3 linked regions of the Oryzias latipes genome follow. The protein of the gene in region 1 purifies or fractionates together with the protein of each later gene. This does not show direct contact. Links are inferred from orthologs where the notes say so. Each region holds a gene or a part of one and is shown in the gene's direction. Other genes may lie near its edges.

What was found.
Region 2: the proteins of transducin-like enhancer protein 1 (region 1) and foxg1 purify together in Homo sapiens (affinity purification with western blotting; 3 studies listed by BioGRID and IntAct, with this or other methods). This does not show direct contact. The link is inferred for Oryzias latipes from reciprocal best matches to the Homo sapiens genes TLE1 and FOXG1.
Region 3: the proteins of transducin-like enhancer protein 1 (region 1) and hes1 purify together in Homo sapiens (affinity purification with western blotting; 4 studies listed by BioGRID and IntAct, with this or other methods). This does not show direct contact. The link is inferred for Oryzias latipes from reciprocal best matches to the Homo sapiens genes TLE1 and HES1.

The regions. Positions count from the first base shown.
Region 1 is NC_019867.2:10,616,668-10,620,837, forward strand, and holds the start of transducin-like enhancer protein 1, read left to right. Parts: upstream 1-1,326; 5' UTR 1,327-2,044; coding exon 2,045-2,068; intron 2,069-2,369; coding exon 2,370-2,470; intron 2,471-3,011; coding exon 3,012-3,075; intron 3,076-3,890; coding exon 3,891-3,935; intron 3,936-4,170. UniProt on the Homo sapiens protein: Transcriptional corepressor that binds to a number of transcription factors. Inhibits NF-kappa-B-regulated gene expression. Inhibits the transcriptional activation mediated by FOXA2, and by CTNNB1 and TCF family members in Wnt signaling.
Region 2 is NC_019880.2:2,901,537-2,904,862, reverse strand, and holds foxg1 (forkhead box protein G1), read left to right. Parts: upstream 1-1,420; coding exon 1,421-1,581; intron 1,582-1,722; coding exon 1,723-2,458; intron 2,459-2,551; coding exon 2,552-2,701; downstream 2,702-3,326. UniProt on the Homo sapiens protein: Transcription repression factor which plays an important role in the establishment of the regional subdivision of the developing brain and in the development of the telencephalon.
Region 3 is NC_019862.2:12,732,761-12,735,887, reverse strand, and holds hes1 (transcription factor HES-1), read left to right. Parts: upstream 1-1,449; coding exon 1,450-1,557; intron 1,558-1,665; coding exon 1,666-1,761; intron 1,762-1,851; coding exon 1,852-1,939; intron 1,940-2,050; coding exon 2,051-2,592; downstream 2,593-3,127. UniProt on the Homo sapiens protein: Transcriptional repressor of genes that require a bHLH protein for their transcription. May act as a negative regulator of myogenesis by inhibiting the functions of MYOD1 and ASH1.

The DNA.
Region 1 (4,170 bases):
TTACTAGAACTAAGCAGATACAAATAAATTAATTAGGTAGAGAAAGCAATAAGTGCGCTTTACTTATTTACTGTTACTTGAGAGCCAACTGCCACTTAGGGGGTGCTTGTTGACAAAACTTCAGAACATAAGACGGTCAACTCATGTTTTCACATCAAGTTCTTCATAAATTTACAGAGTAAATATGCAGAAGAAAACAAAATTATGTGTTTTTTAGCCAAATAAACAACATTATGTGTTATTTAGCCAATAAACATTTGCTGGATAATATACTTTATCTGTTGGAGTCTAACAAGTAGTAAATCAGACGCTGTCGTTTTTTATTTATTCATTTTTTTGTCAAAACCTAATTTTTATTATTTATACTGCCATTATTGATAATTCTATTAATGTTTTTTGTTGAAATTTGGGAAAAAAAACAATTTTTTTAACCATTGGGAAAACTACAAATAATAAAAATAAATAAATAAATAAACAAATAAACAAATAATAACAATATTAATAATCATATTTTTTTTGCATTTTTAATGTATATTTTCGTATAGTTCAAGTCCCCCTAAAAAAGAAAATGAATAAAAATGTGTTTGTCACATCTGGTCAGAAAAAAACGAACAAAAATATAGCTCTTAGTTTGTTTATTTAATGACAGAGTGTATAAATATTTGACCAAAATCTTGTCGTGAAATAAAGAAATCTGCTACCAAAACCCTAAAATATCTCAAAAACTTTAAAAGTCATTGATGAAATAACTGTGCTGTCTCACCAATTTAGAACTTATTATGAATGCAACATATGAGTTAGCTCATTAGATTTCTCCTTTAGGAGGTGGGACATGGAGTAAGTGCTAGTATAAGATGAGTGCAAATATTGGCTCCAATTGGAGAGGAAGAGAGTAGCAGAATGAAATTCTGTGGGTAGAAACATGGATTTCTGTTGTTTTTTATTTTTTGCGCATATGTGATAGAGTTTATTCTTGTTTGTTTAAATACATGCCCATGCTCGTTAGCATCTTTATGGATGTGTTTCATGCGCACGCATCTGCGGCTCCTTTTGGCCCACGTTACTTTGATTGACAGGTAAAACTTGCTTTACACACCACAATTCCCGCCCCCGTAAGCCTCAAAAGTTCCACATCCTTATCGAATGCTCATTGGCTAGAATCCTTCTAGCTGATCGAGGTCAACGGACCAGAGGAAGTTTGCCGAACTCCTATTGGTCGACTGCCGACGCTACGTCGTTGGCCCCACGTGGATCGGCGGCTCTGATTGGCTAGAGACCATTTAGAGGGCTGGTTCAGAGTTTCGGTTAGACGGAAAGCGTGACACCGCGTGAGAAAGTTGCCATTGATGGAAGGCAGAGCGAGACGGAGGAGTGTACGTGCCGCTGTGGGAGTTTTTTGTTATCAAAACTAACGACATATTTCCTAATTTTTGTAAAATCTAGTTTGGACACAGGCTTACGTACAAATTTGACTTGGATACATCTTTCCCTGATTTATTCACCGCCGACTACCGACCTAGCCAAGTGGAAACTCTTCAGTGAAACTAACTTGTATTTATGTGTGATGATGCTAACCTAAAGCTCGGTGTTTTACGGTTCCATTATTTTTTTCTTTTGTTATTTTTGCCCGTTCGGTTGACGGTTCCTTCCCGGAGAATTGCCAAACAAATACAGGAGTGACTGAGGTTTCTGCCTCGCCTTCTCACCTGGTTCTCGCCGTCCTCCTTCAACTTCAAGCTGGCTCCGGCTAAATGAGCTGTGTTTTTTCCGGTTGATTATATACGGACGCTGCCGCTGAAGCGGACGAGGGACAACGACCCGGGACCACAGCCAGCCAGGAGCGGGGATTCACGCTAACGGCCCATGAACGTAGACCGAGCAGTGGATAGATTTGGTTTTCTGTTCGAATATTTAAGGACAACTGAAAGGCGGATGGATTAGTTTCCTTAATCAGGAGCTTCATACATCCTTGTTGTGCTTCATTTGATCCCTCGTTAGCGGGGTTTCAGGACAAGACGCGTTTGCAGTCTCCCCGGAGATAACAATGTTTCCCCAGGGAAGACACCCGGTAAGCTACTTCCTCTTTTTGCTCCATACTTCAGCAGGTTGAAACTGTTTACAGGAAGTATTGCCTCTTTGTTTGATTTGCACGTCTCACACACCCCCACCACCACAAGCTCTCTCAGGCTCCATGCCTGCTTATCTCCTTTTCCCTTGATAATTCTGCTCTACATCTGCCCTGGGGGCATCAAAGAAGAACTGATAATATTGTCTGATCAAAAATTGAGAAGTTGTTGATCTAACATCTTAGCTGCAGGAGGAGATCATATGCAGCAGACGGCTTAATCCTGTGTGTTGGTGTGTTTCAGACACCCCATCAGGCCCCGGGCCAGCCCTTCAAGTTCACCATCCCTGAGTCACTTGACCGCATCAAGGAGGAGTTCCAGTTTCTTCAGGCACAGTACCACAGGTGGACAACAGAGACGGGATTCACTCTGAATGGCCTGTTGTTTCTGAGAGGAATTTCTTTTTTTTCTTCACATTGTCATCCACCCGCTAATACAAACTTTCAACATCTAACCACAGCTGCCCTCCTTTGCCACATTACACAAAAACACACAACTCTAGCTACAGACAAAACCACCAACCCTGACTGGGTTCACATAGTGAAAAGCAAAAACATAAGCAGTTAGTACTTTCACTGTGGTAGGTCCAGTGATGGGTGAGAGTTACAGGGAGGCTTCATAAATCTTCCTTTCTGTCCCTGCATGTGTAGATAGTGCTCCAAGTATTATTTGGTGTACTTTTTCAGTAGTTGATCTGTAATTTGTGTTTTTATGGAATGTTGGGCACAGCAGGTGGAAACTGCCGATCCTCGTCAAACATTTAAATAAAACAGACATTTTTTTTTCATTTCTTTTGTTGACAAGAATCTAAACTTTGATGGTAGAAAAGAGAGATGATTGAATTTTTGTCACAGAGTTGATTGTGTTCCTTTTTTTCTTGTTCAGTCTCAAACTGGAGTGTGAGAAGCTGGCCAGTGAAAAAACTGAGATGCAGAGACACTACGTGATGGTAAGCTTCTTTCTCTGCTCCTGAACCTAACAGAGATCCATATAGCGTTTGGTGTTTTTTGGGTTTTTGAGGCTCCTATGGTGTCTTTGTCTTTTTAACTGTGCTTTTTACCTAAAGGTGTAATAAAACCCAACAATCACAACAACAACAAGAAGGCTTTTCGCACAACTAAAACAACATTCCAAGAATATGTGCAACTTCAAAAAAAAAAAAAAACTACAGCCAACAAAATGTCGTAAAAAATATCAGTTTGGTTCAGGTGAAGCTGTTGTGTTGACTGTATTGTTAAACTGAAATACCTAAAACACTCCTTACCTTTACAGAAAGGTGTGTTTTAAGTCTTAACAGCCTGTAAGTGCTTTGAAGCCACATTGACACTCAAAGGAAAACGCCTCAGACGCGTCTTTTATGTGTAGTCTTACTCAGACATTGATGAAGACCCCACAAGACAGTGGAGTTTAATTTAGTTGTTTAAAAATACATTGGAATCTGAAGTACAGCATTTGACGAATCTACTTTCTTGGACTACAACTGCCTCTGGCAATGATCAAGGGACATTTTTTTTAGTAAAACATGCACAACAGCAAAAACTGCATGATTTTTTATCAAAGTCTTACCTTTTAATTGTAGCCCTGTAAGTTTCAGTTAGAAATGGCTACAGGGGAAGCTGAAGTATTCATTTGAAAAATTATTTATTTTATTAGTTGAAGCATTTGACAAATTTGCCCGTGTTGTTTAAAGATGTGCTTTTTAGTTTGATACTTTTCAAAGTTTTCGGGGTTTATCTCACTGACATGTGCCTCTTCTCTCTCTAGTACTATGAGATGTCGTACGGCCTCAACATTGAAATGCACAAACAGGTACGCCTGCTTATCTGTGTCGTCTACATCTTCATGTTTGAGCCTCTTCCTTCTTTTGTGTTCCACTTCCTTATCGAAAGGGGTTTTGTGGTATTTGTTGTGTACGTGTTGACATGTCCTGTGTTTGTGTGGGCACACAGATGCTGTATATTTGTGTTTATTCGTTTGTGTATTCTTTTTTTTGTATATATTGAATGCTTGTGTGTGTGTGTTTGTGTGTTTATTTGTGATTGAT
Region 2 (3,326 bases), on another chromosome or scaffold:
TCACAGAAAAAGAAAAAAAAACGATCATGAGATGCTATGAAGTTTTCCGGCTGAGACTTTATAGAATCACAACCACGGAACCGCAGTGGATTTGTTTGTGGGATCCAATAAATTCGTGACGGACGATCTGTCAGGAGTTTGTAGAGATTGGTTCACAACAGCAAAATAATTAAATAAATAAAAACCGTGAATCTTTGAAAAACATATAAAGGAAGTGATGCAAAATATTGTATTTTTGTGAATGTTCTGGGGAGCCTTTGGAAAGCTTGAGGGCGCCGTCAGATGAGCTCCATGTCTTCTGTTACCCGGAGCGTTGTTGCCTCCAGTTCTGTTAAATCGTCCTCGGAGAGGGGGGTGGGGGCGGTAAGTGACCGCAGAGACTCACATGAGGTTGTGTTTACGCCTCGTCTCTACATATTTCACGCTCACTTTACACGCGGACAAGCGCGGTCTTTGCGCGCTGCGCACTCTGGCTGCGCTCTGACGCACAAATCATCCACGCGCTTCGTGACCGTGTCCGTGGCCCGCGGACTCGCCCGTCTCAGTTTATTTTCCCTCCGAGCCCCACAGCTAAACAGTTTTGTATACACCAAGAAGGCAAATATTTGAGTCGGAAGAGTGTACAGTTTGGAGCGGCGGGGATCTGGGTTTACGCACGCACGGTGCGTGTTTTCAGTCACTTTTCTTTCCTGGGCTTGGGTGGGGGGACGTGTAGCCGTGGGGAGGGATGACTGGAGTGAACAGGGGTGAGTATTTTTCACGCTGCAAAAAGTTGGGGGAGCTGAGAAATCTATTAAAAAAACCTCAGGGTTTGGTGCAGAACATAAATGTAACAACAAAAGATGACACGAGTGTGGAAATTGAGGCACAACAGTAAATAAATCCCTCTGCATAAATCCGAAACACACAAAAAAATCTAAAATTATATTCTGAAGCCTAAATATTTGTCCAATTTTCTGATTTATTTTGATCGTTCTTGAGGTGGAAAACAGCTCCAGGCAGCCATTTTTTGTAGCGTGCCCAGCATTGGCGGATATGCGCGCTTCCCGCGCATCTCCATTGGCTGACAGCTCCGAGGACGCGTCAATGTTTAATCGTAATGTTTCCCTGGTTGGCTGAGGACTGGAAAGGTCCAACCAATGTTTTTCACTCGCTTTAGTGGCTGCGGCTCCCAAATTAATTGCAGCTATCTGTCTCCTATCGATGTGTGTGTACATGTGTGTTGTGTGTGTTTCCCCTTTTCCTCCCAAACCGAACATGAAATAGTTTGTTGGGCTATACTTTCTTTCTTCCTGTCTGTTCCCCCTTCCTCCCTTCCCGTCCTGGTTCGCCAGCAGAGGCAGGAAGGACCGAAGCCCAGCTGTGTTCGTCTCTGTCGGTCGGAGCCGTCGCCCCCCCTCACTGCTCGGTGATGTTGGACATGGGAGAGCGCAAAGAGGTGAAGATGATCTCCAAATCTTCGTTCAGTATAAACAGTTTGGTGCCAGAGGCCGTGCAAAGTGACAACCAGAACCAGCACCACCACCAGAACCATCACCGGTCCGGCTGCGCGGAGGACGCCGAGCAGAAGGCGCCGCTTCAGTGCGCGCAGCCGGAGGGGAAAGTCAGCCTGAAGAGTGAGGGATCGGGCCAGGACGGCTGCGCGGAGGAGAAAGACAAGCAGGAGGAGAAGAAGGACGGGAAAGACGGCGACGCGCCGGAGAAGGACGGCGAGAAGAAGAGCGGCAAGTACGAGAAGCCTCCGTTCAGTTACAACGCGCTCATCATGATGGCCATCCGGCAGAGCCCCGAGAAGCGGCTGACGCTGAACGGCATCTACGAGTTCATCATGAAGAACTTCCCGTACTACCGGGAGAACAAGCAGGGCTGGCAGAACTCCATCCGGCACAACCTGAGCCTCAACAAATGCTTCGTCAAGGTGCCGCGGCACTACGACGACCCGGGAAAGGGGAACTACTGGATGCTGGACCCCAGCAGCGACGACGTCTTCATCGGTGGGACCACGGGGAAGCTCCGCCGGCGCTCCACCACGTCCCGGGCCAAGCTCGCCTTCAAGCGCGGCGCGCGGCTGACCTCTGGGCTGACCTTTATGGACCGGGCCGGGTCCTTGTACTGGCCCATGTCCCCCTTTCTGTCTTTGCACCACACGCGGGCCGGCGGCGCCCTGGGCTACAACGGGACCTCCTCGGGTTACCCGGGTCACCCGATGTCCTACAGCACCATGCTGACCCAGAACATGAGCAGCAACCACTCCTCCTTCCCGTCCTCCAACGGGCTCAGCATGGACCGCCTCGTCGGCGGAGACCTCCCGTACGCCACGCACCACCTGACGGCGGCGGCCCTGGCGGCCTCGGCGGTGCCCTGCGGCCTTTCCGTACCTTGCTCCGGGACCACGTACTCTCTGAATCCGTGCTCGGTCAACCTGCTGGCCGGACAGACCAGCTACTTTTTCCCCCACGTCCCGCACCCGTCCATGACCCCGCAGAGCGGCGCGGGCGGCGGGGGCGGCTCCTTACAGGCCGCGCGGGCGTCTGCCTCCAACTCCCCGCAGGCGCCCTCCTCTTCCTCGCTGCAGTGTGACAGTCTGAGGCCGGCGCTGTCCGGCTCTCTGCCGGCATTCTCGTCGGGACTTTCCGGGGGTTTGTCTGATTATTTTACGCACCAGAACCAGGGCTCGACCCCCAACCCGCTCATACACTGACTCCCCCACACCCACCCCCGCTGAAGGAGCGCGAACCTGACCGGAACTCGAAGCTGAACATTTTACACTTGAACGTTTTACATGTACAAACAGACAAAATGATTATAACTACCTTCTATAGAAAAAAAAAGAGGAGAGACTTGCAGAAAAAAGAGCAGCACTGAGAAACTCATAGAAAGCAGCACTGACATTTCCAGGTATTTTTTTAATCTTATTATTATAATAATAATTATTATCATTTCTTCTTTTTCTCTTCTACTGCTCATCTCCTTCTGCAGTTTGAATTTCTGTGTACATAATGTCTGTTACTGTAAATGTCCGGGCATTGTCTCTGTATAGTGCTGTCAGTCAGTGAGGTGCAATGTGACCTGAGATGAGAAACCGAAAGAAAGACACGAGAGCTGTGCGCGCGCTTCTCTTTACTTGATTTTTTATCATATATATATATATATATATATATATATATATATATATATATATATATATATATATATATATATATATATATATATATATATATATATATATATATATATATATATATATATATATATATATGATAGTATTAACTATTTGTTGCTAAGGCGCATCTTTTTATTTGCATCATGCGTTATTTCCACGCAGT
Region 3 (3,127 bases), on another chromosome or scaffold:
ACAGAGCCGCGCGCAGAACGTCAATGTGTGACTGTTGCTGTGTCACTGATAACTTCACTTGACTGGTCTGCAACATCAACAACAAAAAGCCCAGACAGTGCCTCCTATTGTTCCACTTTTATTCCCAGGGAAGCTGGTTAAAACATTCACAAATCCCCTGAACTCATGGTTACACTTTATTGTGTTGGATTGCACAACTTTAGGAACACAAAGCTGCTGCTCGTCAATAAACCTTCAGAAGGCAATTGTCGGAGTTATTTCACTCACTTTTGCCCGTCTGCTCTTACGTCTATCTAACAATAAAGATAAGGAAATGAAATTATGACCTGATATCTTCAAAAGCCTTGAACGCCGTGGGGCGGCTACAGGCGGGAAGGGGGAGGAAAGGGGGGGGGCGGCGGCGGCAGCGGTGTGATCGTGTGAGCTCTCCAGGCTCAGAAATATCTCTGCTCTGGCTCACATTCCGATAAGGGAGCCCGATCCAGCTCTCTCCGTAGGCGTGGTTTTCCCAGGCTTTTAAAACAGCAGCTGCTATTTACCTTCCCCTCTAATGTAAACCACTGCCGCCGCCACATGCCCTCCCCTGGCCCGGCGGCCCCCCGGCAGCCCGGCGGCCAAACCTCCAACCACCGCGCTCATAAAACATCCTGGCACGTGCTCCACATTCGCAACACGGACAGATGATTAAGTGGCAAACTTTTGTCAGTGAAATGTTTCTGCAGAGAAATGATGATCCCGTGTCTCTGCGTGCGTGTTCACCCCCTCATGTGCTCCCCTCGTGGGCTTTTGGAGATGTTTTCTTTACTAAATTGATTATAACCGCAGCCTAAAGCCAGGATAAGAGCCCTATTTTCTTCCCCTAAAAAAAACGCGCACCACTTTTCATGTTTAAAAACATAAAGTTATTAGTCATTTTAATGTGTCTAAACACAAAGATGTTTCTCTTGTTATCACAAGCCTTGCAGACTAAAAGTCATGCCCAGTCAGCGGCTCCACTGTTAATATGGAAACGGCGCGATGATTGAAGACTGAAGGCAGTTTCCTCGGCTGCGCCCTGAACTCGGGCCGTGCGCCATTGGCCGCCAGCTCCGGCAGCCAAACAACCAATGGGAGGGCGCCGACCACGAGCCGTCCTCTCTCGGGCCGCGTGTCCCTCGCCCTGATTGGTAGAAAGTTACTGTGGGAAAGAAAGTTTGGGAAGTTTCACACGAGCCGTTCGCGTGCAGGGTGAGATATAAATACATGCAACAAGAAGAGTCTATCAGACAGATCTGCTTCTGGTTGAGGCGCAGCCGCCGCGCGCATCGCTCTGACGGATACATACCTCAGGATTTTTATTTGTCCTTTTTTAATTCAAAGGAAAAAGGGACTTTTTGCCAGTTTGAGCGCATCAATTTACTCATTTCCTAAACCAGTGGATCCTAATTGTGGGATATTTCTAATAAGAAGATGCCTGCAGATATGATGGAAAAAAACTCATCCTCTCCGGTCGCTGCAACCCCGGCAAGCATGAACACAACTCCCGACAAACCCAAGACAGCCTCGGAGCACAGAAAGGTTGGTACATTTCATCAGAAATGCGCTCTCGTTCTTCTTCAGCTGGTGCGCATCGATCCAGAAATGTTCGGATCCGAATCATGACGTATATTATTTTGTTTTATTTAGTCCTCAAAGCCAATCATGGAAAAGAGAAGAAGAGCCAGGATCAACGAGAGCTTGGGTCAACTGAAAACACTCATCCTAGATGCTCTCAAAAAAGATGTAAGTGTTCCGGTTATCGGTCGATTTCAAAGCGTTTCTTGTCAGATAGTTGGCGCGTAATGCTGACCAGGTGTGTTTCCGTCGCTGCAGAGCTCCAGACACTCCAAGCTGGAGAAGGCGGACATCCTGGAGATGACGGTGAAGCATCTCCGGAACCTCCAGAGAGCTCAGATGACCGGTAGGTCTAATTTTACAATCCGATCTGTTGCTTAACGTAATCATCTGGACTAGAAAACACGACTCCAGACTCTACATGCCTGTGTTGACTCAGATGTTTGTCTCGCCGCAGCTGCTCTGAACACAGACCCTTCTGTTTTGGGGAAATATCGCGCCGGATTCAGTGAATGCATGAATGAAGTCACCCGCTTTCTGTCCACGTGCGAGGGGGTCAACACCGAAGTGAGGACGCGGCTCCTCGGCCACCTGGCCAACTGCATGACCCAGATCAACGCCATGAACTACCCCAGCCAGCATCAGCACCAGCATCCGCTCCCATCCACCGCGGGGCCAACGCACCCGTCCTTCAGCCAGCCCATGGTGCAGATCCCCAGCTCGTCCCCGCAGATCCTGCCCATGAACCCGGCGTCCTGTAAAGGCGGCTCCTCGCCGGCCGCACTGCCTTCGGACGCCACCAAAGTCTACGGGGGCTTCCAGATCGTGCCAGCCACAGATGGACAGTTTGCGTTCCTCATTCCCAACGCGGCGTTTGCGCCGAACGGCCCCGTTATCCCCGTGTACGCCAACAACGTCAGCACGCCGGTGTCTGTCCCGGCTGCCGTTTCCCCGGGAGCCCCGTCAGGAACCACTGATTCAGTGTGGAGACCGTGGTGAGAGGTGGAGGAGTGACTGAAAACATACTCTCTAGTTCAACATGTCATCATGATAGACTTTTCTTTTTTTTTTCTTGTAAAATGAAGAGTATGCACTATATTTGTACAGCTAACAAGGGACTAAAGTTCATATTGAAATGAGATTTGTATTGTGGAAGTTCGTTCACTGCATTTTTATAGGCTATATAAATATATATATTTGAGTTGTCTTTTCTACTGTGTGACGCCAAAGACATGTTTGATGCTGTCCTGTTCTTCGTTTTGGAAGACAAATAAATTTGTAAAAAAAAAAAAATGTTGAAAAGTCAGTTTTTTATCATATCAAATGGAACAGACTTTAAGTTCACTTCTTTGTCCATTACTCCAAGTTAAAGCTGAGATTTTAATGTGAAAGTACTGCTTTTGTGCATGGAAAAAGTTTCTGAAGTGTATTTTCCAGGACAAAACTTGAGTTAAAAATATGAAATCTTAGTTCGTGACATCAACCAAATTAAATATTTTTGACCATAAAACACATCTGTGGACAAAAATGTAAA